4 linked regions of the Arabidopsis thaliana genome follow. The protein of the gene in region 2 interacts with the protein of the main gene of each other region in a biochemical or structural test. Each region holds a gene or a part of one and is shown on either strand. Other genes may lie near its edges. The genes, in order: HSF A4A, MPK6, AGB1 and PHOS32.

Evidence for each region.
Region 1: of the proteins of MPK6 (region 2) and HSF A4A, one has a biochemical effect on the other in vitro, tested with the Arabidopsis thaliana proteins (one study listed by BioGRID).
Region 3: the proteins of MPK6 (region 2) and AGB1 form a complex in vitro, tested with the Arabidopsis thaliana proteins (one study listed by BioGRID).
Region 4: of the proteins of MPK6 (region 2) and PHOS32, one has a biochemical effect on the other in vitro, tested with the Arabidopsis thaliana proteins (one study listed by BioGRID).

What each region holds. Positions count from the first base shown.
Region 1 is NC_003075.7:10,346,093-10,352,058, forward strand, and holds HSF A4A (heat shock transcription factor A4A), read right to left. Parts: upstream 3,811-5,966; 5' UTR 2,960-3,810; coding exon 2,738-2,959; intron 2,661-2,737; coding exon 1,677-2,660; 3' UTR 1,387-1,676; downstream 1-1,386. Other genes in the region: AT4G18870 (E2F/DP family winged-helix DNA-binding domain-containing protein), read left to right, coding at 77-289, 377-778, 875-1,135. UniProt on the Arabidopsis thaliana protein: Transcriptional activator that specifically binds DNA sequence 5'-AGAAnnTTCT-3' known as heat shock promoter elements (HSE).
Region 2 is NC_003071.7:18,136,037-18,142,241, reverse strand, and holds MPK6 (MAP kinase 6), read right to left. Parts: upstream 3,997-6,205; 5' UTR 3,766-3,996; coding exon 3,533-3,765; exon of another isoform or gene 3,312-3,532; coding exon 3,182-3,311; intron 2,733-3,181; coding exon 2,595-2,732; intron 2,504-2,594; coding exon 2,171-2,503; intron 2,091-2,170; coding exon 1,910-2,090; intron 1,722-1,909; coding exon 1,549-1,721; 3' UTR 1,254-1,548; downstream 1-1,253. Other genes in the region: AT2G43795 (corepressor), read left to right, coding at 311-412, 506-641, 736-802, 900-1,107; AT2G43780 (cytochrome oxidase assembly protein), read left to right, coding at 5,191-5,250, 5,577-5,798. UniProt on the Arabidopsis thaliana protein: Mitogen-activated protein kinase (MAPK) which regulates abscisic acid (ABA) responses in a MAPKKK20-MKK5-MPK6 cascade involved in root growth (e.g. root cell division and elongation) and stomatal response.
Region 3 is NC_003075.7:16,475,923-16,481,910, forward strand, and holds AGB1 (GTP binding protein beta 1), read right to left. Parts: upstream 3,699-5,988; 5' UTR 3,345-3,698; coding exon 3,239-3,344; intron 3,167-3,238; coding exon 3,072-3,166; exon of another isoform or gene 2,848-3,071; coding exon of another isoform or gene 2,833-2,847; coding exon 2,408-2,832; intron 2,160-2,407; coding exon 1,802-2,159; intron 1,724-1,801; coding exon of another isoform or gene 1,713-1,723; coding exon 1,599-1,712; intron 1,507-1,598; coding exon 1,471-1,506; 3' UTR 1,109-1,470; downstream 1-1,108. Other genes in the region: AT4G34450 (coatomer gamma-2 subunit, putative / gamma-2 coat protein, putative / gamma-2 COP), read left to right, coding at 1-109, 306-545, 679-873; SK12 (SKP1-like 12), read right to left, coding at 4,100-4,558; AT4G34480 (O-Glycosyl hydrolases family 17 protein), read right to left, coding at 5,225-5,418, 5,667-5,928. UniProt on the Arabidopsis thaliana protein: Guanine nucleotide-binding proteins (G proteins) are involved as a modulator or transducer in various transmembrane signaling systems.
Region 4 is NC_003076.8:22,095,757-22,102,078, forward strand, and holds PHOS32 (Adenine nucleotide alpha hydrolases-like superfamily protein), read right to left. Parts: upstream 4,096-6,322; 5' UTR 3,938-4,095; coding exon 3,217-3,937; coding exon of another isoform or gene 3,185-3,216; exon of another isoform or gene 2,127-3,184; coding exon 2,071-2,126; 3' UTR 1,815-2,070; coding exon of another isoform or gene 1,807-1,814; 3' UTR 1,763-1,806; intron 1,673-1,762; 3' UTR 1,164-1,672; downstream 1-1,163. Other genes in the region: AT5G54420 (hypothetical protein (DUF295)), read left to right, coding at 48-323; CLUB, read left to right, coding at 4,300-4,363, 4,757-4,986, 5,259-5,440, 5,801-5,984, 6,257-6,322.

The sequences.
Region 1 (5,966 bases), on a different chromosome or scaffold from region 2:
CTTCACAAGAGTTGCAATACTGTATATATGAGAAAAAAAACAAGTTAAAGAGTGCTTTTGATCCAAAATGTTAAACATGAGCAAAAATGAAGGTTCATTAACCTCAGTATCATATTTCATCACCACAACGTATGATATGGTCGATGATCTTTCATTAGATTCAATAATTTCTTGGAGCCAGAGCGGCAAGAGTTTCATCATTTGGAATCCAGAAGAATTTTACAACAATCTTCTTCAAAGATTCTGCTTCCAACGCATAAATACCTTTTTCTCTTTCCTTTTTTCACATGTAAGTTACTTATATATGATTACTTTAGTAAGATGTCATCATAGATAGTTTTGTATTCTCTCAACTTTGAATCTTCCTTTTCGTTAGGGTTTCAGAAAAATCGACTCTGGAAAATGGGAATTCGCGAATGATAATTTTGTGCGAGGTCAACGTCACCTCATAAATAACATTATAAGTGATGTAATAGAGCAGGAGGTTCAATATGATCAAGGAATGGAATTGTTTAAAGCAGAAAAATTATTTGCACGACTAGTGAAAAAAGTACAGGATCAATTGCCACCTCATAACAGTTATCCAACCTCAAAACTTCCTTTCCCCACCAAAATCTATGAGATGGTGGACGATCCTTCATCGGATGCTATTATCTCATGGAGCCAAAGTGGCAAGAGTTTCATCATTTGGAATCCACAAGAATTTTGCAAAGATCATCTTCGTAGACTCTTCAATACCCTCCATATACATTTTTTCTTCTATAAACTTAAAATATTTGTAAGTTTCTTATATGTTAGTTTTGTAAGATGTAATCATATTCTTTTAGCTAGTTTTTGTTTTGCTTATTAACTTTGAATCTTCTTTTTTCTATAGGGTTTCAAAAAAATTAATCCAAAGAAATGGGAATTTGCAAATGATAATTTTGTCCGGGGTCAACGTCACCTTGTGGAAATCATTATAAGCAATGATAAAAAGAAGAATGATCAACTACGTAAACAGGATGCCAGAGAGAAAAAAATGGCGGAGGCAGGAGAATTGTTTAAGTTGCAAATTGAGGAAATGTCGGATATGAGAAAGAAAATGAAGAAGGCCAAGGAAGTAAAGGAACAAGAGGTTCGACTCTGCAAATTATGAGTTTGTTGGAGGTCAATCTTATTTTATGAATAATATCCATAAGAAGCTCTAGCTTGTCATTACCATTAAAGTTTGTATTTATTAGTTTTCTTTGAGATTATGTTTAATGTTTTTGTTTGTGCAACAGTTGCTTCTTTGGCTTTCTGCTTTCTGTAAAATCCCTTAAAAAGGATGTAATAATTATTCTTTGATTTGGCATAGTACTCGTTATAAGTCTCTTGTAACTTTTCTTTTTTTTTCTTTGTTTGTTTCCGACGTGTTCTTCATAAATTATTGAATGGTATACTGATAAAAGTCTACAACATCATATAGGACTTTGGAAATTATGATTTTGTTGAAGGTCAATCTCATTTTATGAATACTATCCATAAGCTCTAGCTTATCATTACCATTGAAGTCTGCTACAATGAACTGTGAAAGATCATACAAGTGATAAATAAACAGCTGAACCATACCTAAGTACTGTAATCGAAAACAATAAAACTGAGAAACCCTATTTTACAAGTAACTAAAACAGACTAGAAATTTAATCTTTGACATATCAACTTCTCTCTGAAGAAGTCAGATGTCCAAGCTGTTCTGTAATTGCATTAACATTTCTCGAATTCCACCAACATTTCTCAGTACGTACTCCGGCTTTATCTTTATCGTCTTTCCTCTCTAATTGAACTTCCCGTTGCTCGGTTGAGCCAGGATTCTCTGAGAAAAACTGCTGCCAGAAGCCATCATTCGCTCCTGCTACTGGAGGAGGAGGAGGAGCAGCAACAGTGTTCTGTTCTTTCGAACCATCGGGCTCACAGTTCATATCGATGATCCTTGGAGAAGGAGGAGATTTGAGACGTGAATCGACACTTAACTGTATGCAAGAAAGAGGAGGGCTCTCTGGAAAAGTAGATGATTCATCCACATCAAGTGTCATCATACTTCTTGATTGTAACATACTCTCACAAGAATCCGATACAAGATTCTCCCAAATCGCTATCGATGACTCTAACTGTTCCACTTGATGCTCTCTTGTGTGTGAAGAAGGGCTTGTAGAACCTTCCTCTCTCACAACAACACAAGTTTTGTTCTCTTCCAACATCGGTTCATCGGGAAAGAACTCGATCCTAGGGAACCTTCTTTTCCTCTCGTTTGTTTCGGGAACACACGGCGATAGGTTCAAAGCAAGCCCTGGCTTTTCCAATACTTGAGAAACAAACGAAACCATTGTTTTCTGACGCTTCTCCATGTGTTGTAATCGTTCTTTAAGTTCTTTCACTTGCATCTCAAACACTTCTCGTTCCTCGTCTTGTTTATGTAACTCTTCAAGCAATCCTTCTTTCTCTTTTGTCAATCTCTCAATCTGATTATTCATTCTCACTCGTTCTGAATCCGTCAACGGGTTTAACTGAGCTTGAAGATTCGGTAAAGAGTGGCTATGAACTGGTTTGCGTCTATGAATGTTCTTCATAAGATGAGGTTGACCTCTCACAAAATCATCATTCGCAAATTCCCATTGCTCAGGATCAGCTTTTCTAAAACCCTACACACAAAAACAAATTCCACTAAGAAGATGATTGATTTAGTCAATACTTTTAAACAAAGCATGAAAACACTTACATATGTGTTAAGCTGGCGGATAAAGCTAGAGAAGTTATTGTGCTTGAAGAATCTCGGAAGAAGATCTCTAGAAAACTCCGGCGGATTCCAAACGATGAAACTCTTATTGCTCTGACTCCAAGAGACGATAGAATCGGATGAAGAATCATCAACCATCTCATATGTTTTGGTGAGGAAAGGTGGAAGTGAGCTTGATGAAACTCCATGATTATTCTCATCCATCTCTGAAAACACTTTTAACAACTCTCACACTCCTTGATTCAATCTACTCACAACAAAGCTTACAATCACACTCACAAAAACAGAGCCAAAAACAGAGCAAGAGACTCTTTTGATCAAACTATGAAAGTTTCAATAACCAAAAAAGATAAAAACTTTCAATTCAATAACTTCAGTACACAGAAACTACAGTTAAGGAGGACTCAAAGAACTTACTATCAGTAAGTTTCGATCAAAATCAGAAGCCCAAAATTCCCTCCAAAAAAAGCTTCGAACTTGAACAAAGTGAAAGACTAAAAACTCACCACTGTTTCTAAATAAAAGACAATCAAGCAAAAGCTTCTAAGAACCCCTAAAACCCTTGTAAAATTCAACGAATCTAGAACCCTTTTAGCATTAAAATCAAAAAGAAGAAACCCTTATTAGCTTCTCGAACCCTCTCTGCTTCTCGAACCTAAACAGCTTCTGGACTTGGGTATATATATTTTAATCAGACAAGAGAATTTCAAGCAGCAATAATTTGTCTGCTTCTGTATCTCTATCTATACCATTATTGCTGCGGAAATATCAGAGAGAGAGAGAGAGACTCTTTGAGGAGAGAAGACCGTAGAAAAGTAAACGAGTCGATTGACCCGGTGGGGATTTACGACGACGACGATTCGTCAAACCTTTCGTCGATTTTTTATATAACTGATTAGCGATTAAAAACGCGTAAACGATAACAAAAAACGAACAGTTTCTGAGGGATTTGTGATTATACGATTTAGCTTTTGATTACAAAAAGGTTGATGAAGCAAGTACGAATCAGAACAGAACAGCTGTTTCATAGTTTTACAAAGATTGGGTTTGGTGGAATGTTTTATTATTTTATTATTATCAAAATCACCCCATGAGATAATGATAGAGCTGTTTTTGGCATAAAGTTTATTTCTTTCAATTATATAAAAATGTGAATAGTCAATGAATATAAGCATAGAGATCTTGTTTGTTTGTTAATGTAGAAGCATTTATGGCCGTAAGAAAATTCGTTGTTGATCTCTTTTTGGGGTTTATAAACTAAAGAAAAGTCTTTGATTTTTATTTGGAGGACACGAAATCGAAAAGTCTTGTTTTGAAGGATATTCAATTGTGTTTGGCATTTGGTAAATATCATGCCTCCTTTAGTTTTTTCTTTTGGGGTTTTTTTTTCTGTCGAACATCTGAATGTTTTTTTTAAATAATTTTGATGTGCATACGTAAACAAAGATTGAATTAAGGCAGTATCGTTAGTGCAAGAAAAAGTCGGATCAAACCTGAAATATTAAAGTGCTTAGCTTATTAATATATGTTAGTGTAAGATCACTACTTAGCTTATTCAAATGCTATTGAAACGGGATTTCTAAATTCATGTCCAACATTAATTCACTACTGTTTGAGGTAAAAGAACATTGTGGTATTAATCCGGTTCGATCGTTGCACAATATTGATATTTCTTTAAAGAAAAATGCACACGTATGTGCTTAGTTCACTGTCCCCGTCAACGCTATATTACAATATTCCAATACCAAAAATCAATTTAAAATGTTTTAAATTAAAATTAATTCTGCTATAGTATTCACATCCAGTAAGACTAAGACACAGTAAAAAAAAAAGGATCAATAACCTAATTACATTATAGAAATCATAGATAACCAAAAATTGTAGATAACCTACATGTAATCGCAAATACGTATAAAAATGTTAAAATTTGTAACATATAATGTGGTTTATTATTGGTTGTGAATAACTTCTACATGGAATTTAAAAATTACTTTGATAAAGATGAAATATATTGTTTCAACTAATTTGGGTCCCAACTATTGTGGTCGGAGTAGGACGAATTGAGTCCTTCGTTAACTTGTAGTGTTATTGAAGTCATATAAACACAAAATTAGACATATTACACAACGTGTGTTAGTTGATATATATACTTAAGTACACCATATATAGAGAGAATAAGGCAAGTGTGGAATGTTGATAGTACTACACAAATATATAGAGATAAAGGCAAGTGTGGAATGTGGATAGTACTACTACAAAATATTTATTAGTGTCGGATAATAAAAGGCATGTGTAGACAAACACACAAATTGTGTTGTACGTTATAAGAAACTTGGAATCAAAGATGTGTTCTATTTAGCAGTGGTACGAATATTTTTATTGGTTGGGTAACAGATGGTATAAATGTCAAAGAATAGCATACTTATTCTAATTGTTGTCACACACACAAAAAAAGCATACTTATTCTAATTACTATACTTAGGCCATCTCCAACGTAACGGTAAAACTGTATTTTGATGTGATGCAATATACTTTTTCACTCCAACCCAACTGTAAATATTACACTATAATAGTGTGATTCCTTTATTTTGTACAGTACTCCACTATATTTGGCGTGCTACTGTAGCAACGGTAAAATTAAATATATATTTTTTTTTACTTTAAAATTATTACATATGAATATAGCTTATTTAGGTATAGCATATTAAATATGATTTGTATTGTCATCTAATAATTTAATTGAATTTTGTAAGTAAAAAAAAAAAATATCAAAACTATTTATGTATTTTTAATTTTGATAATATGATTATGAAATATTAATCAGTAGAAGATATAAAAATTATAACAAAAGATTTATTGAAATTACATAATAAAATTCAATTAACCATTGAAAATATAAACTTACAAAATTTAAAGCTATTTTGATATATAGATTGTAATTTGTATTAATCAATAAATTAAAAATATTAAATATTAAAAATAATATTTGGTTTAATAATATAATAATAGAAAATATTATTTTTAGTGTGATATATAGTGTTGTGGTTGGAGATTGAAAATATTTTAGTGTTGAATCTACACCAAATATAGTGTTATTTCAGCACCAAAATAGTGTTATGGTTGGAGATGCCTTTAAGACTAAAAAGTAATTAATGAAAAAGAGCAAAGGAGTCACGAGCAATGACAAGTTGATGGCAAGCAGATCGAGAGC
Region 2 (6,205 bases):
GTTTCATGTTCAAAGTATTCTTTTCTATGGAATATAAGTTCATAAAATGTTATTGACGTCGTGATAACATGGGATATATAGAGACTATTACAAGAGTGGATAGGTGAAAATAGCCCAAACAAATCCATCTGAACTTCAAAACGCTAAATATTATCCTTAACAAAACAACAAAACGCTAAATATCACGTTTTAAAACGTTTCTTTGTTTAGGGCTACTTTGTTCCTCTCTCTGTCATGTTAATCTGGCTAGATTGTTATGTTTATGCTTATTATCTTGTTACCAAAACATTTCTGATGAGGCGAGTCGCAGATGGATGGTTCATTTCATTCACCAGAATGGCATGCAGCTCGTTTGGCCAGTCTCAAGACTACACACACTCTTACTTGGGAAGAATATAAGCAGAAGCAAAAGGTATAGCTGCTGATCGATAAATCGATGTTTTTAGGAGCATCGACAGATAAGAAATGTTTCTCACTCTATATGCTTCATGTGACCGCTCTTTAGGAAGAAGAATTGAAAAAGCAAGAAGTCGAAGCAGATACCGATAAATTGATGCGTGAGTATAGAGCTCAGCTAGATGCTGAAAGGGCAATGAAGCTCTCTAAGGGAAGGAACTATTCTAGTGACATATCCAGGAAAGGTATACACTTACAATAAATTTAAGCAGATGGAATGTCATACAATCCGCAGTTCGAGTCTTGCTTTTCTAATATGCCATTTGATCTTACAGATAGGAAGGAGAGAGAGCTCACAGATAGAAAGTGCAGAGATTCCAAGAGGAAGAAAAGCAAAAAGAGAAAGGTGCTTACATAACAACTGCATCGAGTTTAGTTTGAACATCTTCTATAATTCTGTTGGCTTGAAGCTTTTAGCTTACATTGTGTTTATTGATTTGCAGCATTCGAAAAGGCGATCATCAGACTCAAGCTCATCTTCTGAATCTTCAAGTAGTGACAAAGACGAATCTAGGAAGTCAAGGTCAAGTTCTAAGAGGCCAAAGAGGGAGAGGAAACACAAGTCTAGAGGCAGACACTCAAAACCAAAGTAAAGATGAGGCTGATGGTCCTGCACCACAATCAAAATTCTTTGGCAGTCTTAAGAGTTGACACAGTGCAAGACTTGAGATTGTGTTCATCAAATGCTCAATTTTCACCCCGAGGACATGATTTGTACTATCCTCATCTCCCTGCAATATTTCTCTCCCTGCTGTTTTATAAAACAAGAAAGCTGACAGTAATGGCAAGTATTTTGTAGAGGAATTGAAGGTGGGCTATCATAACATAACTATTTCTGAGACAATTTAAGTCTTAAATAACTGCAACAACAAAATGAGGGCAAATTACAAATACGAATAGGAAAAAAAAAAACAGAGAGAACAAATTATCCAAAAGACTGAAATATAAAGTTTGAGACCCATCCCCTTCAACATCTCTCACAAGTATACACAAAAGACAAACAATGATCTTTCCTCCTTTTAAGAATGTTGTCCAAACCAAATAACGCCAAACCCTTATCTCATCTTCATCTCCCAAATGCTGTTCTTCAAACTATTGCTGATATTCTGGATTGAAAGCAAGCGCCTCGCGGTAGATTAGTTCCTTCATCTGCTCCTCTGAGAGTGCATGGTTTTCAAAATCAAAGTTGAAAGGTATTGTACACTCTGGCTCATCGCTTATGTCGTGCAACGAGTTCAGGTATGGATGGGCCAATGCGTCTAAAACTGAATCAAGAATCGAGAATCAAGAATCAATAAGAGGTGATGACTACTAACTAACTCTTAAATAACCAAGAACTCATTATTATTATTCCTTCACTAGATTGAATCTTTTTTCGGGATTTTGGAATGATCCGTACAAGCAATTCCAGTTATTTTGCAAGTTAAAAATGGTATAGAGGTTAGGGACTAACCTGTGATTCTCCGTCTAGGATCAAATGTTAACATCTTCTCGATAAGGTCTATAGCTAAAGGATGCACTGTCGGGAACTTATCAGTGATGGATTGGCGAGGATAAGGTGGAAGCTGTCTTATGTATCGCTTTGCGTTTTCGTTCAAGAACTCGAGCTCTTCTTCTGATGGAGTTCCTATGAGCTGCAAAAAGAAAATGGTCTCGGTCTGTTTCTTTAGTGCTTCAAAGCTTATTTTTGGGTCAAAGAAGGGTTACTACTTACCTCCATGAGCAAGCGAAGCTGATGGACATGATCTCGTCCAGGGAAGAGTGGCTTACGGTCCATTAACTCCATGAAAATACAGCCTACAGACCAAACATCGATAGCTGCAGTATAATCAGAAGAGTTTAAGAGAAGCTCTGGTGCACGGTACCATCTCGTGACAACATATTCAGTCATGAAATCACTCTCAGAAGTGACTCGAGCTAGCCCAAAATCGCAGATTTTTAGGTCGCAGTTTGCGTTCAGGAGGAGATTACTTGGTTTCAAATCCCTGTGAAGCACATTTGCAGAGTGAATGTATTTCAATCCACGGAGGATCTGGTAAAGAAAATACTGCACAAAGAGACAAGTGAAATGGAGTTCAATTAGTCCCCGTTTTCAAGTCGAGTTATATAGGTCAACAAACAATCTCAAAACTCAAAACCTGGCAATGTTCTTCGGATAATGCTTGATTTGACCGAATGATTTGATGGAGATCAGTGTCCATTAACTCATACGCGATGTAAACATCGTTGAAAGCGTTTCTTAATGGTGGCGGGATAATATCTCTGATTGCAACAATCTGATTTAACAGAAAGATGGTAAGTGTTTTATCAATCGGAAATGTTTTACACGTTGCAAACGCCAACATAGATAAACGGTTACATTTTACGATTTGATTTCTAGAATTTAAAATCTTGACGCAGATGGAAAAGATCATACTACTGAATAAGCGCGAAACAATCCGTATCAAACCGAAAAAAATACAAGCACACTGTGTCAACATTCATGTATATTCCCTTAAATCTAAATGCAATAAGCAACCACCAGATACAACACATTCATACACAGAACCTAATCAGCCCATACAATATCAATCAAATATATACATCATCTATTTACCTAAACAATTTTGCATCAGCTAGTAGTTACCATGTTTCGAGTGTATTTAAATCTACAATCCTATTATGTTCTACATAAGACTCTATAAACAGATGACTCTTAGTTAACAAAGAAAGAGCAAAAACTGACATTTTCATGATCCATGTGACGAAGCAGCTTGATCTCACGGAGAGTCCTCTTAGCATCAATCTTATTGTCAAAAGCGTTAGCAATTTTCTTAATCGCAACGCTCTCGTTAGTTTCAGAATTCATAGCCGAACTGCAAAATCAAAATCAAATAAAACCACAAAAGGATAAAGCTTTCATTGAAACAAAAATAAATCCCAATCATAATTAGAGCTCAAAAACGATACAAAGGAATCAATTTTACAAATTGCGGATCAAAAGTAACCAACTTTACCAAAACCCAATCAACAAAAATCATTTTTTATTTCAATTAGAAGCAAAAGCCAAAAATCAAAAGAATCGGAGAAAAATTACCAAACGATGCCATAAGCACCCTTGCCAATAGGCATGATCGGAGGCTTATACTTAGCGGTGACCTCGAAGATGTTTCCAAATATGTTATACTGAATAAACCTACCACCATGGCTAAGAGTCGCCGGAATATTCTCAATCCCAGGCATCTGAGGCGATGGAGCCGCCGCGGGAAAACCTCCAGGAGCTTCTGTCATCTCTGTATCAGCCGCCGGTTGACCTGAACCACCGTCCATGACCGGTAAAGATGAAAGCTTTTGAGGTTGGTGGTGGTGGTGGATCGAGAAGAGGGAAATGGAAAATCTTTTTTTTTTTTTTTTTTTGTAATTTTGGGGTGAGTGAATTATGAATGAAATTGGAGAAATTGATATTCGTTGGTTTTGGGGTCAAAACAGATCTGAGAGACAAGAAGTGAAAGTCATGTGCGTACGGATCTATTAATTTTTTTATTTTTTTTTGGGTCTTCACTTGACCCGTGTGTGTAAGCAAGCAAGCAAGCCACTGTTCAAAGTTTGATCCTTTATTCTCATGTTTAACACTGTTATGGTTACAAACGGCATCGTTTTACATTGACTTATCACCATTTTTTTTTTTGTTCCATTGACTTCCTTCCTTAATCGTTATCATTAACAAGTAACAACAGCATTTTTTTGAATGTAAATGTTGGGTGAAAATGAATCATAGATAAATGTAGTTATTATCATTGATATTATGTTTTTGGGTTGTACTTTAATTTTGAGATTATTTTTGTAACATGAAAAATCGCTAAATTTTATGTAGATTGAAAAACACAAAAACTTATAAACCGCCAAAAGTTATTAGATAGTATCTAAATTAACTATTTAAGTATTTAAAGTTCTCTATCAAGAATTTCGATGAACTTGATAGTCGTATAGTGTGAATGAGGCCACAACATGAAACATGCTTGGTTGAGGGTTATTTGGATTTTTAAAAAGTATGGTGGTTCAATTTGATAATATTCCAAAATTACAAGGATCATCTCAATATTTTTTACATAATGAAGCAATAAATCTCTTCTCTTGTGTTATACAGTTGGGTTCGAACTCGAGACGGCTTGCTTTCTGCCTCTATCCCTCTTTCACACGAGAGCTCTTACTGGGTTTAGGGTTTTCGATAGATTGGTAAGTGGCCACGACACTAAGCGTCACCGAACCAGTTGTCAACTAAATAGGGAAACTTTAGGCTTCTGTCGCATTTAGGCACGATTCTCTGTAGAAGAAAAAAATATCAGCTTTGTTGTATCTTTCGGATTTTCGAGTGATCATCAAACCTTCATCACCAGGTTCCTTTCGATTCCATTTTAATTTTGTGGACTTTGGAGTAATTTGCTTAAAGAACCAATTTTTGATTGATATTTTCTGCTCTCCTTTCATTTTGACATTTTGATCTGGTTTTGAGAACTTTGGTTGAGTAACAGTAGCCTGCGTTTAAAAGATGTTAGCTTTGGATGTATAGATGTAGAGTTAGGTTTCTAATTGCCTTTATTTTTGCTTTGGTTGATGATTTATGGTTGATTGACTCGTTAAAGGGAAGTGCGCTGATTTTGTGGACAATTATGTTAGACTGATGGGCATGAATGTGACCAATTGATTTTCTCTCCGTTTCCATTATGATGCAGAAGAAAGTTCTATTTTGCTGAAATGTTTTGCAACTTTCAGTTGTTCATTCATACCATGATTGTACTCATCTTTGATCTCGTTGTGAGTACTATCACTTACTCTTGGCGTAGTAGTTCTTAGGATGAGGTATAAGTATAACAATTCGAAAATTCGTCGTATTCAATCTGTGTAATCTGTTTTTCACTATATGAACAATATGTCAATGTCCTGCGATGCCTCAGGGCTTCTGGAGTCACTTCTGCAATGTTAAAAAGAGTAATCAAAAGTTGTTATATCATGCTTCAGAGTTCTCTCTTGTTATTCCTCATCTTAGTATTTATGAAACTGTGATATTGAAGATATAACATAATCTAATACTTCTGATACTTGGGTCTCTTCTGTAACATGTGACACATTGGATCTTGCAGGTTAAAGACTTTGAAGTAATGGCGGGATTTCCAGGTTTTAGTTACCTAGGCCCAAAAGGCAAGAACACGGTTGTAGCTGGTGGCTTGACAGCTTTTGTTTTTGGGGTATACTTCTACACAATGAGGGCGGTTGGTGGCACAGACGAGCTTCAAGTGGCTATAGACAAGTTCGAAGGCCAAAAACAGGTGGACACTGACACCAAGGTTCCATCTAAGGTCTAATCCTCACTGGCTTGATATGTCCAACCAAACCCGTTATTTATCTTTGCTTTCCAAGCTTCTTTTGTCACGAAAGTGGCTCGTTTCTGACATCGAGTGGCATCTGTGTTTGAGTCTCAGTCCAATCTATAATACATTGATTAAACAAGAGAATGTATGATCAGGACATGGTTTTGATGTTCTTGACATTGTCTTAAGTTCTCAACTTTATCATACTCTTTGTACCTAAACGTTTGGTCTAAGCTAAGGTGTGGCTATCCATAAATTTCTGTTACTACGCCGTCAAAATCAATCAAAAGAAACCCAATTTGTCAGCCCAAAAAACATGCAGGAGATGGGTTATTTTGACAAAAAGAATAGTATCGGGTTCATTCCGTCATAAAATAGGGTCTTATCAATATTTTGCAAAT
Region 3 (5,988 bases), on a different chromosome or scaffold from region 2:
CTCACTTCCTTACGATTCACCCGGTCAAGCCTTTGTGGTTTTTGAGAAGCCAGCTGGGGTCCCTGCTGTTGGAAAGTTCTCCAACACATTGACTTTCGTTGTTAAGGAGGTACATGTTAAATAGGCTATTCACTTCCATCTTTTTATTTACTTACACTGAAAATGACCCCATAATACTTTGTGGAGAACTCTTATAAACAACGACTCATTTGGAGAGGAGTACCAGAACGACTCAAATTAATCACAGAAAACAAAGAAAACTCTCTAACTACATTGTTTGTGCTTTTATGAATGTGTTAAAACAGGTTGACCCAAGCACAGGTGAAGCAGAAGATGATGGAGTAGAAGATGAGTACCAGCTAGAGGATCTTGAGGTTGTAGCTGGAGATTACATGGTGAAAGTGGGTGTCTCCAATTTCAGGAATGCGTGGGAAAGCATGGATGAAGAAGATGAGCGTGTAGACGAATATGGCCTTGGCCAAAGAGAGAGTTTGGGAGAAGCTGTAAAGGCTGTCATGGATCTTCTTGGCATGCAGACTTGTGAGGTTAGTCTCTTCCACTTTTTTCTCATACTCTACTGAGACTTGAGGGCTAAAATTATTGTTGATAAAGTCTTTTTTGAGTATATGACCATTTGTTGTGTTCCTGAAATTGAAACTGACACTGGATAAATAACAGGGGACGGAGACAATTCCGCTCAATGCAAGGTCACACACGTGTCTATTGTCAGGTGTGTACATAGGCAACGTGAAAGTGTTAGTGAGGGCACAGTTTGGAATGGACAGCTCAAAGGACATTGCAATGAAGCTGACAGTTAGAGCTGAAGACGTTTCTGTCGCCGAGGCCATTCACGAGATTGTTGCCAGCGGCTAAAACCTCTTGCGTTTCTTCAGTATCAGAGAATGTCATCTATTCCTGCTGCTAAACCTCAAAAATACATCAACTATTATAAATAGCATAGTATTACTTTCTTTCTTTTTTCCTTGCATTATTACTGTCAAATACACTATGGAGGTTTTCTTTTTATTTTATGACGGTGCTTTTTGATTTCTCATTTCTGAATTTTATTATTACCCGTTTTCTCGCCAAGTTGGGAATCTACAGATCATCTTGCTCGGATTTGAAAACCACTACCGTACCGTACAACAGGCTAGGCTTTCTCCATAAGTTAGAAACTCAAAAATAGTAGCGTTTTATCGTCTGCGTTCAATATGAAGAGATGATAGTAAAGTAAAGACTGGTGGGTACACAATTGATTACAGAATTCACATTGAGTAGCGTGTTGAAGGAGTTTAGTTCCCAATGAAGAAATAAATAAATCAAAGCACACTACAAAAAGGGAAGTTTAATTCTTCTAACCACTCCACTATTTCAAACCAAACACCTTCCACAAACCGAACCTTACTTCCCGACTACAGAATATATTAACCAACAACTGGAGACGTGACTCCTACTTTCGTTAAATCTTCTTCAAATCACTCTCCTGTGTCCTCCAAACGCCCATATCTGTGTGAATTCAACGAAATTTCATCTATCCTCTAATTTCCTTACAAACATAACATGGTAAATGATAAGCAGAGACACTACTAAGTACTAACCTTTAGATTTGAATCCCAACTTCCTGTACACAAGGCACTTCCATCTGCTGACAACCCCAAACAGCTTATTCTATTCCTGTGTGAATCCTGCTGTAATCCCAAATCCAATACAACCTGCAAGAAAACTCCTCACGTTTCAATCATAAACCTTACATGAGCGAAAACAACTCTCACCACTCATTACTCAAATACTAATTGCTTACCTCTCCCAAGAGGGTATCCCAAACGTAGCAAGTGTTGTTGCTCGCATAGCCAGCGAAAAGAAGTCTCCCTGACACAGAGAATGCAATGGAGGTGACAGGTCCGTTCTCACCATCACCATGTGGCTGATAGACCTGGAGTTGGTGACCAGTCCTTATGTCATACAGCCTGCATGTTCCATCGTCTGATCCAGTCCCAAATCTATACCCATCCGGAAAGAACTTGACCGTATTAACATCTCCCTCGTGACCATGAAAGGTACGCACTGCTCGGCTTGCAGCACGAGTGTCCCACAACCGTGCTGTGGAATCGCATGAACCAGATATAAACCAGTTTGGGTTTGATCCACTGATTGAGACGCTGCAAGAATGGGGAATAATCACCAAGTAAGAGGGCGAGTTTAACTGACTTGCAATATATCATCCATGCTAGCTTTTATACACAAGTCAAATAAACGTATCTATTCAATAAGACCAAACCTATATGTTGATTCCAACACTCGATCCAAATGGTATGGTTCTGGAAGATTAAGTAGTTTTTCAAATATATTCTACTTTATCAAACAAACTGATGCCAATGAGCCAAGGAGATGAAAGCAATATCCATACCTTAGTACATCAGCAGTATGTCCAGACTGAAATTCACCGCCAAAAACAGAAGTTTTGAGACCAGTAGTTACATCCCATAAGATACAAGTTTGATCACCTGAACTGGTGATAAGGTGGGCATCCTCATTTGGGACATACTGACAGCACGAAACATATCCCCTGTGACCAGTGAGCATTCTTGAAACCGGTACAGTTCCATCCTTGTCCGCCGTTGAGCTAAGGCTAAAGATAGAACATACACTGTCTAATCCACCACACGCAACCGACTGACCATTTGGAGAGAAAGCACATGTCATAACCCATGCACAAGGGAGTTTAATAGCATGAGTTTTCTGACTCGTTAGAGCATTCCACACGATTAATCTCCCATCTTGAGATGCACTGACAATCCGGTTCCTCTCCGGTGTCCAATCTAATGAATAAACCTGCAAATCCCACATGTTAAATCAACAACAAGCTAACATTCACAATCAACTCTCCTGTCTCTACATTTCCGTAGGATCTTAAGCAAATCCTCATACATGATAACTGGTAACATCTTATAAACACCACCAACTAAATAACAAACTAGATACAACCCCAAAATGGAAGCTTTTTATCACAGGCTAGAAAACACTCCACAAAGAAGCATGCTTGAAGGATAAAGATGCAAACTTTGAGTCACCTTTCCGGTGTGTCCCTGAAGAGTACGACAACAAACCAGATCCGTTGCTCCGAAGCTCACCCGAGTACGTCCTTGCGCCGCTGAATACCTCGCCACTGGCAAAATTCAATCCAAATTAAAGAAGAAGAAGATGAGAGAAGAAGAGAGACGAAAAGGAATCCACAAACCATCGGTATCGAGGAGCTGGAGGCGTCTCTGTCTAAGCTGGTCACGGAGGTTATTAACGGTCTCCGTAGCGACGGCGTGGCGTTCTTTGAGCTCGGAGACAGACATTCCGGGATCAGACTTAGGCTTCTCCGTCGCCGATCAAATAAAAGGGGGAAACTTTGTGGGGTCTAGAAGAGAAGAAGGTTCATGATTGAGAGAGGGAGATCGAACCCTAGAAAGAATGGATTTGGGGGAATTACGTGGGAAAAGAGAGAGAGATTAAAAAAGCTTGAGAGAAGAATCAGTCAAGACACAAACACGGCTCTCTTGTTGAATGTTGATGATGGCTTCTCTGACCTGAGACTAGCTAGAGAGAGAGAAGAGGGTCAATAGACATTGACTGTTCCCATTAAAGTGGACCCTCTCACAATGATTAAACGATATCGTTTAAGAGCTATGATTGTTTTTGGTTTTGGACGAGATTTTCGATTCAATATAATGAATTTGAAGGATTTTTAACTACATATTTCTTTTTAAGAAACGTAATTTACAGTACAAGAAAAGAGAAAACATGTTAGTTATTTTGCTACGTGAATTTAATTTGTCTAATAGATTCTGTTTTTCTGAATTGGCTACAAGAACATCAATAATCCAATAAAATTAAGATTGTCTCAAGAGAAAATAAAATAAAAACACATTGGTTAAGCATATCAATATCCAACAAAAGATTATCTCAAGAGAATACAAATCAAAAAAAAAAATTTTAAAAAGTAGACGAAGTGATCATCATCTACATTATTGATCAAGAAGTTGCAAAAAAAAAAAAGAACACTAAAAGGAAAAAAGAAAAAGAAAGCTAGTTAGGTTTTTGATTCATGGGCTCATTCAAAAGCCCATTGATTCTCCTTACGAACAGCTTCTTCTTCCTCAGGTGTAAAATCATTCTCAATGTTGAAAGTTGAACGAATCTCCTCTGGAGTCTTGCCTTTGATCATGTCCGCAACAGTTTGGCATGTGAGATCAAACAAGCTTTTTATGTTGAGGTAATTCGCAGCAAGGATGAGTTCAAAGATGGTGGATTGTTCGAGATCCATGAACTTCTCGTCCCACTTGTTGAGATCCTCTTCAGAGATAGGATTAGCCTCGTCGACGTGGTATTTCTTGCAGTACTCGATCACTTTCACAAGAATCTTGCTTTCCACGTTTGCAAGAGGGATTCCATCAGCAACGCAATCGTCTTCAACCATATGCGCTATGGTCTGCGATTGGATTGCTACCGCTTCTTCCACCTCAAACGACTGACCATCGGAGCTCATCAACACGATCATCTTCGAAGACATTGTGTGTTCCTTGTGGAGGAGGTTTTTCACTGTGAAGCAAATTTGATGAAAGATTTAAGAATTTAGAGAGCGAACAAATTGTGTTAAGGTGATGAAGTTGTGAAACCCTATGCGTCTTTGTATTTATAAGCCCTAGCTAGAGTCGGTGAGATCAACCATTCCTTTTTTAAGAAGGAAATAGTTATTTTCCTTAACCGAAGAAAATAAGTAAATTATTTGTCGACTCCTTTTCATAAAAGGTAATTTCAGATGAGTAAACCAAAATAAACCGGGTCAAATTTTCATTTTTTTGTTGTAGGTTCGGCTCAAATCCTTATTTTCAGAAAATGTAAATTCAGTAAAGTGAACCAGCTAAACCGGTTTAAATTTACAATAGGCCCAATTATAAAGGTACGGCGTAAAATGTAACAATTTAAGAGGGATATAGATATACATTGGAATATAGGAAACTTTATCCAAAGATAATATTCAGATTCATTTATAAGAAACCAAAAGAAGTCTAGTAGATATAGCCGTTACAGACTATATAATACAATTGAGATAGAATGTGTGTAACCATTATAAACTAATAACAAACTCGATTACACTTAATACAGAGGAAGGAGAGGAGATTAACAAGTAGGCGTAATTAATTAATTACTTACCTCCAAGAGCTAATTGAGCCATTTACATATATACATGGAAGATAAGGGACAAAAAGATGAGTAGAAAAGATAGAGAAGAAGAGACTTTTGGTTCAGTTGCTCCATTCTTCTTCTCTACTTTGTCTGAGCTCACATACTTGTTCATTACTGCTTTACTTCCTCCTCCTCCTCCTCCTCCTCCTCCTCCTCCTCCCGGATATACGCAATTGTTGTAACCTATCAAATTCAGATTCAAGATAATTAAGAAACCCAATTAGTATAATAAAGCATGTAGAAAACCGATTATTTGGTCAATTAAAGCATTTACAAGGCCTAGCTACAATAAAACATAGTAGAAGAGAATTGATCATTACCTTCAACAAACAAAAGCAATTACTAAGTCTTTGTTACAACTTTTTATACTAAGTTACTAAGTTGAAACTACTATTGGTAGGGTGTGAAAGTAACGGGGAGAGAAATCTTACTAGGGTTTTGGGAAGTGACTGTTGCGGTTTTAGAGAAATCGCAGTCTGTAGGCTGCTTAGGAGATTTCTGAAAATACATATTCATGGCATATGCTGCGTGAGAGACCACATTGTTCGGCTCGAAACAAGCCCCTCCTGGTTGTATCGCACCACAGTCTATTCCATGTCCGCACGCCCAATCCAAGCTCGCTTGTAACTCCTCATTCGTTGCACCCTTCTTTGGTACACACCACCCCGACGATGTCACTTTTCCTGATGGTGTCTAATTTTATGATCAAAACATAACCTCACAAATTAAAACATTGTTATTTATCTGCATTTG
Region 4 (6,322 bases), on a different chromosome or scaffold from region 2:
CAACTTGCCCCAAGACTATCACTACAAAACCGTTTTGGTTAAGTGGTATGGTGAGAATGCAAACAAAAGCTGTAATGGTGTTCAAACTTGATGAAGAAGGAAACGCTTTTTACACTCAAGACATTGGGGATCTCTACATTTTCATCTCAAGGTCTGAACCTTTCTGTGTCCCGGCTAGCTCCTTTCCCGGCATGTTCTCTAACTTCGTTGAGCTCTTGGATGTTAACGAAAACGTTACTGTCGATCTGTCTGATTACTCCATGAATGGTGGATTTGGTTATTTCGGTGCACCAGCCCACATCCCACCTCAAAAACTAGACTAGTTCCATCTCAATCTCGCCAAGCAATAGACTAGTAGTAGTACACTATATTCCACTGTTACAACATGTTAACTATGTACCGGTTCTTAAATTAATTAGCTAATGACGTGTATGCTGTTTATGCGTTTGTTTGTTCCCTCATGTCAAACCATTACATTAGCTAATGACTTGTATGCTATTTATGCGTTTTTTTTGTTCCCTCATGTCAAACCATTCTCGTTGGTGTTAACATCTCAAGCCAATTGTCTCATTGAGTTTGTCAAGTTCTTGTATTGTATTTTCCCAGCCAATGCTTGGATTTCTAAGAGGCTGTTTCAGCTTTCTCTTCTAGAATCTATAGTTTTCGCGACCCAGTGGTTTTAGTTAAAGTGCTTTGAAGCCAAAACTAGGTGTTTTCAAGAATGGGGATACTGAAATTTGGACCGTGTCATGTTAGGAAGACTTGCTATAAGTACATAGAGGTTAGTGTGACCATTTCACCTCTTGGAATGTGAGTTTATCTGACTGTCTAGTGTTTGTGATGTAGAAGTCCATTATTCTTGTCTGTGTATCAGTCTAAACTAGATACTCAAAGGAACATTACATTTGCAAGAATATAGATTTGTACCAAAGAGCATTAGGATTAATCAAAATAGGACTACTGAGAACTGAAGGGACAGATTTGATGTCCATTGTTTGATCCGTGCCTCTCACAGTTGAACTTGTTTGTCAAATCAAGTTAAATTGTTTGTGAATTTAGCGTTGTATTATATGTGAGATCTATAGGTATATTTGTCATATGGTTTTCCGTATATTCATGCCCTGTTTCTGATTAAACAAACACTGAATCCAAAAAAAAAAAAATGATGTAAAAGGAAGAAATTTCTTGTACATATCCGCCGCGTGAAAAGATGTAAAATCCGATAATTATAGTCATCTACTCTAAATTTGCAAAAGAAATTAGACCTAATAACCAAACAAGTTTTACGAATTACCAAACATTTTTGTTTCTTTGGTTGTTTCATTTTTCTTTTTCTTTTGGAGAAATCCATCTTTCATAACTTCAATCCTTAGATTTACCTAAATTCCAACAAGTCAAACCAAAACCATAAATCAACCAAATCTTTATTTGATGTTACCATGTAACTAAATTCTAAAATACCAGTCTTTATTAAAGAAACGTATAATCCTTCTTCTTCCTAAAAGGGGTTCATTAATCATACAACTCCTTCATGTTTAATGCAGAAACCACTCAACACTCATTCATATTACATAACCCAAAGAAATTCATCAACATTGTCATAGCTAAAGAAAGAACACACATTCAACACTCCTCTGAACATTCCGCTAACACCCCTACTTGCTTTGTGTACCTTATTAATTCCAAAAACATGAAGAAGATAATCAAGAGACAGGTAGACCATATAAGCTTACAGATATCGTTGATGTGAGTTTTATATTACCTAGAAGAGAAGAGGGTGATATATTACTTAGATCCCACGAATCATCACTCATCTGTGACAGAAATACAGGAACAAAAAAGGAATAAGACATTGTCATTTGGTCAGATCATAGATATATCTACTGGAATAACACTTTATTCACAACACACATTTCACTGTTCGAAGATACACAGAGAGGGATCACTTAAAATATCATGCAGATTATACATTGCTAGTCGTGATGCAGTATGGTGGAGATAACAAATGTAACCTATAGATAATAGCCTTTTTACCTTATCAGTGTACATTCAGATCTTTTTACAAATTCACTAGGTAGCTCCGATCTTGTAACGTATACCAAATGCTCCAGAACTAACACCAGTGACTATCTTACAGAAGAAGCAATCTACGAAACTCAGTAACTTTATTTGACAAGTTTTCATCTGAACTTGTCATAAAAGTAAGAAGGTAGTGCCTACATCTCAGTTAGATTTGATATCTAAACATTACCCAAGAGTATAGATAAAAAAAATTTTGGCATGTTAACCAGATTCTTCCTACATATTCCCATTCTTTCCTAAATTTTCCTCTGTTAACATTGTAACCTTTCCTAGTCTGGACCAAAGCAAACAACAACAAAAAGTATAATTGAAGCTTCCTTTTTAGAACTACTGCACTATTTGATTTTCAATGTTTCATACAACAACAAGTATACAGTCACCAACTTACGAAATGAGGGGTTATAGAAGACATAATTTCTTATCTGCCTTTTCCCAAGTCAAGAATCATAATACTTGGATGCTAATGATACTTAATGTTGCCTCAAACTAAACCGAACAGAGGAAAAATAAATCAAACAAACTCACTTAGAAAAGTTTATCTTCAAGGGTCAAAAGAAACTTTCCTCTGGACTAGAGTACTTTTAATCTAAAGTCTAAACGCAATCAATGGGTAGTGTAAACAATGCAAGAAATAGAACGATGTCGGCGCTTCTTTGTCCCATGTGTAGGGGAACAATAATCTTCTAACATATATTACAGCAAATTAGCCATAACCACCAAAAATTATGATATATACTATACAACTAACTTCAGTAAATAGAAACAGTTTCGGCAGATGAAGAAGATATATACAAATTCATAGAACGAATACACTAAAGCTAGGAAATCATCTATGTACATGACCATCATCCTCAATTTTCGGGTAAGCAAGGCAATGAACATGGACAGCATTTCTCACTAAATCGACAAAATCATCTTAGTTCAGCTATAAAAGGATCTCATTTTCCTGTGCTACCATCTATGGCAATCTTTTTCACAACATATTCACGTGATCACAAAATTCACAACACTCACTACACTACTGAATCTAAATCTGACACATCAACAGAAACATCCATGAAAAAAATAACAACGAAAGCAGCTTATCTAATCAATCACTGAATCACATAGAGATAGAGATAATTGATCCCTGACCTTTGATGTGTTCATGATGAGCAGAAGCAGAAGCAGCAACAACATCTCCATCATCATCTCCACCAGACTTGACAGTAACAATAGGCACAGGTCCATCACGATCATCAGGATATCTAACCACAACAACAGGACAAACACAGTGATGAACACAGTAATCACTAACAGAGCCAAGCTTGCCATCACTTCCTCTTTTTTTCTCAGCACCAAAACCTCTACTTCCCATAATCACAGCACTAAGACCAAGCCTCTCAATCTCAAGACATAATCTCTCTCTCATATCATGATCTTTCACTATATGGATCTTATAAGGAAACCCTAACTCCTTCAACGGTTTAGCTAGATCCGCAACTTTTGTTGAAGTAAAAGCATCAAAATCCTCTTGACTAGGTTGAGGTTGAGCGTTTGGATCTTCAATTTGAGTTTTCAGAGGGAGAGGTCCCCAATCGGCACCGAAGAGGACGGAGGTTGGAGAAACGTGGAGAAGAACAACGGCGTCTCCGGGACGGATGTAGTGATCTACAGCCCAACGAACGGCGAAAGAGCTTTCTTCGGAGAGATCAACTGCGACTCCGATTTTACGACGAGCTCCGGCGGTTGGTGTTGGAGTTGCGGCGGAGGAGGGAGTAGATGAGGAGTGGTGATGGTGAGAGTGACGTGGAGATGGAGGGTGATGGATCTTGATGTTTGGAAGCTGTGGATGATCGGAATCTGCTGGATTCATGATTTTTTTCAGATGTTGTTTTTGTTCGTCGGAAAGTGGGAGTGAGGGAGGTTTCTCTTAACGGAGAAGAAAGAAGCGTTGTTTTTGTTTTTTTAATAGAACATTAGACTGCATGCCGTTATTTATATACAAAGACGACAAGCATTCTAATATAGATGTAGTTAATAGAAGGAGTGATCCAACGGTCAGGATCAAATCTGAGCGCCATAGTTTTGAAGAAGACGATTCACTAGATCTCCGGCGTCGGTGATTTCCTCCACTTCCTTTTCTGGCAGCTAGAAGACGAAACCTCACTCAAATTCTGATCTCTTTGTATAATTCGATCGAGTTATTCGTATGATTCGTATAGATCGGTGACTCAGATGGCGAACTACTTGGCTCAGTTCCAGACGATTAAGAATTCCTGCGATCGTCTCGTCGCCGCCGGTGAATTTCTCCCCAATTTTTTTCAAATGTGTACATTTCTAGGGGTTTTGTTTCTCTACGATTGCTGCATTCGATTAGGATCTTATTTCTCCTTTTTTTTTTCTGCCACATTTTGCGATGTCATAGCTATATATTAGTGGAAAGTTTCTCAATGTAGGTGAAGGATCAAATCAGATGATATGAATCTGTTAGGTTGTTGGTTGGTCAGGTTATACTCATGAATGAAGCTAAAAGTGCTTAGAAATGAGCATCCATTCCTGAAGGGAACTGATCATGATGATTTCTTTTGTTTCTGATCTTAAACTCTACTTGTTCGTTAGTATTAAGATGTCTTCTCTTTATATTGTTCCCGTTGCTCGTTGTAATAGTGGTTGCTTGCATATTCTTTTACAGTGGAAGATGTGTGTGATCTGTGGCCTACAGTGAAAGGTTTATTTGAAGAACATCAGCCATTAAAAAGAGCATTCTTGACTAACAAGACTCGAAATCCGGTTTTTGTTGAGAACTTGCCGGTTGAATTCATATTAACTACAGACGCGAGGCTTCGTAGTCGATTCCCGCAGGAGCAGTATTTGTTCTGGTTTCGAGAACCATACGCAACTATAGTTCTTGTCACATGTGAGGTACTTGCTTGTTGATATGATGATATGTGTTTTTTTTTTCTGTATCAATCTTGGCAGTGGAGAGTAGTCACGTGCCAAAATATGAAACAAAGATGATGTGCTTGATGATATTCGTTTCTGTTTTCCTTTTCTATAAGAGATAAGAACCTATGTTTAGATAGTAGGTACCGTTTCTAATGTATATGGTTTCTGGATTAGGTTAGATTTATCACTTATGTGGTTCGACAATTTTTGTTCTTCTAGCTTTTCTGAGTATACCTTTGACCTTGCAGGATCTTGATGAGTTTAAAAACATTCTCAAACCACGTCTGAAATTAATTGTTCAGAATGATGAGAGGGAATGGTTTATTGTATTTGTATCTAAAGCTCATCCAAGTAATGATCAAGCAACTAAAAATGTCAAGAAAGTATATGCGAAGCTTGAAGTTGACTTCAGTTCAAAAAAGAGAGAAAGGTAAGCTATGCAGATTGGACTGTGTTTATGTTTTTTTGCTCTGATACAAGCAGGCACGAACCGAAAAAATACCATGCCAGATTCCTAATGAGACTTGATTGCTCCTACTATAGTTCTAACATAAATAGATTAGGTTAAACAGTTTGCACGATTGCAATCACTCATATTTTTGCTAGATGCATAAACTAAACCCATTTAGCAGTAATCACTCATTTAAAGGAAGTTATCTTTAAGTTATATACTTATGGAAATGCAGACGGGATAAACGCTAAAACACCTTTTTATTTACTTGATCAGTTTTACTTCATTTATGCATGCCATACATAGTCTTCATATGATAATTTTTGCAATGCTTTTAAGGTGCTGTAAGCTGGATGTACATGGCCCTGAAGGAAATTTTTGGGAGGACCTTGAATTAAAGATTACCGAGTGCATCAGGAATACCTTGGATAGGCGCGCACAATTCTACGAGGATGAGATACGCAAGCTCAGTGAGCAGCGGTTTATGCCAATATGGAACTTTTGTAACTTTTTCATCCTGAAGGTTAGCTCTCTTCTCAATTTGTGAATGGAAAGTGACATGTGACTTCTACGCAAATGAATAAAATGGTTTAAAATCCTGTTTCTTCCTTTTTGTAGTTAGATTTTATACTTTTTTAATAAAGTCTCTGATGGAGATTTATGTGCCCCTTTTGTTTCTTCCATAGAAGTATGAAAATAATCCCCAAGCTTAGAAATCAACATTGGTCCTTGCAGTCACATTTGATGAAACTTTTCTCATTTTCTTAAAGGTCATAATGTTCTATGCTGTCTCAGGAAAGTTTGGCTTTCATATTTGAGATGGCTCATCTTCATGAAGATGCATTACGTGAATATGATGAA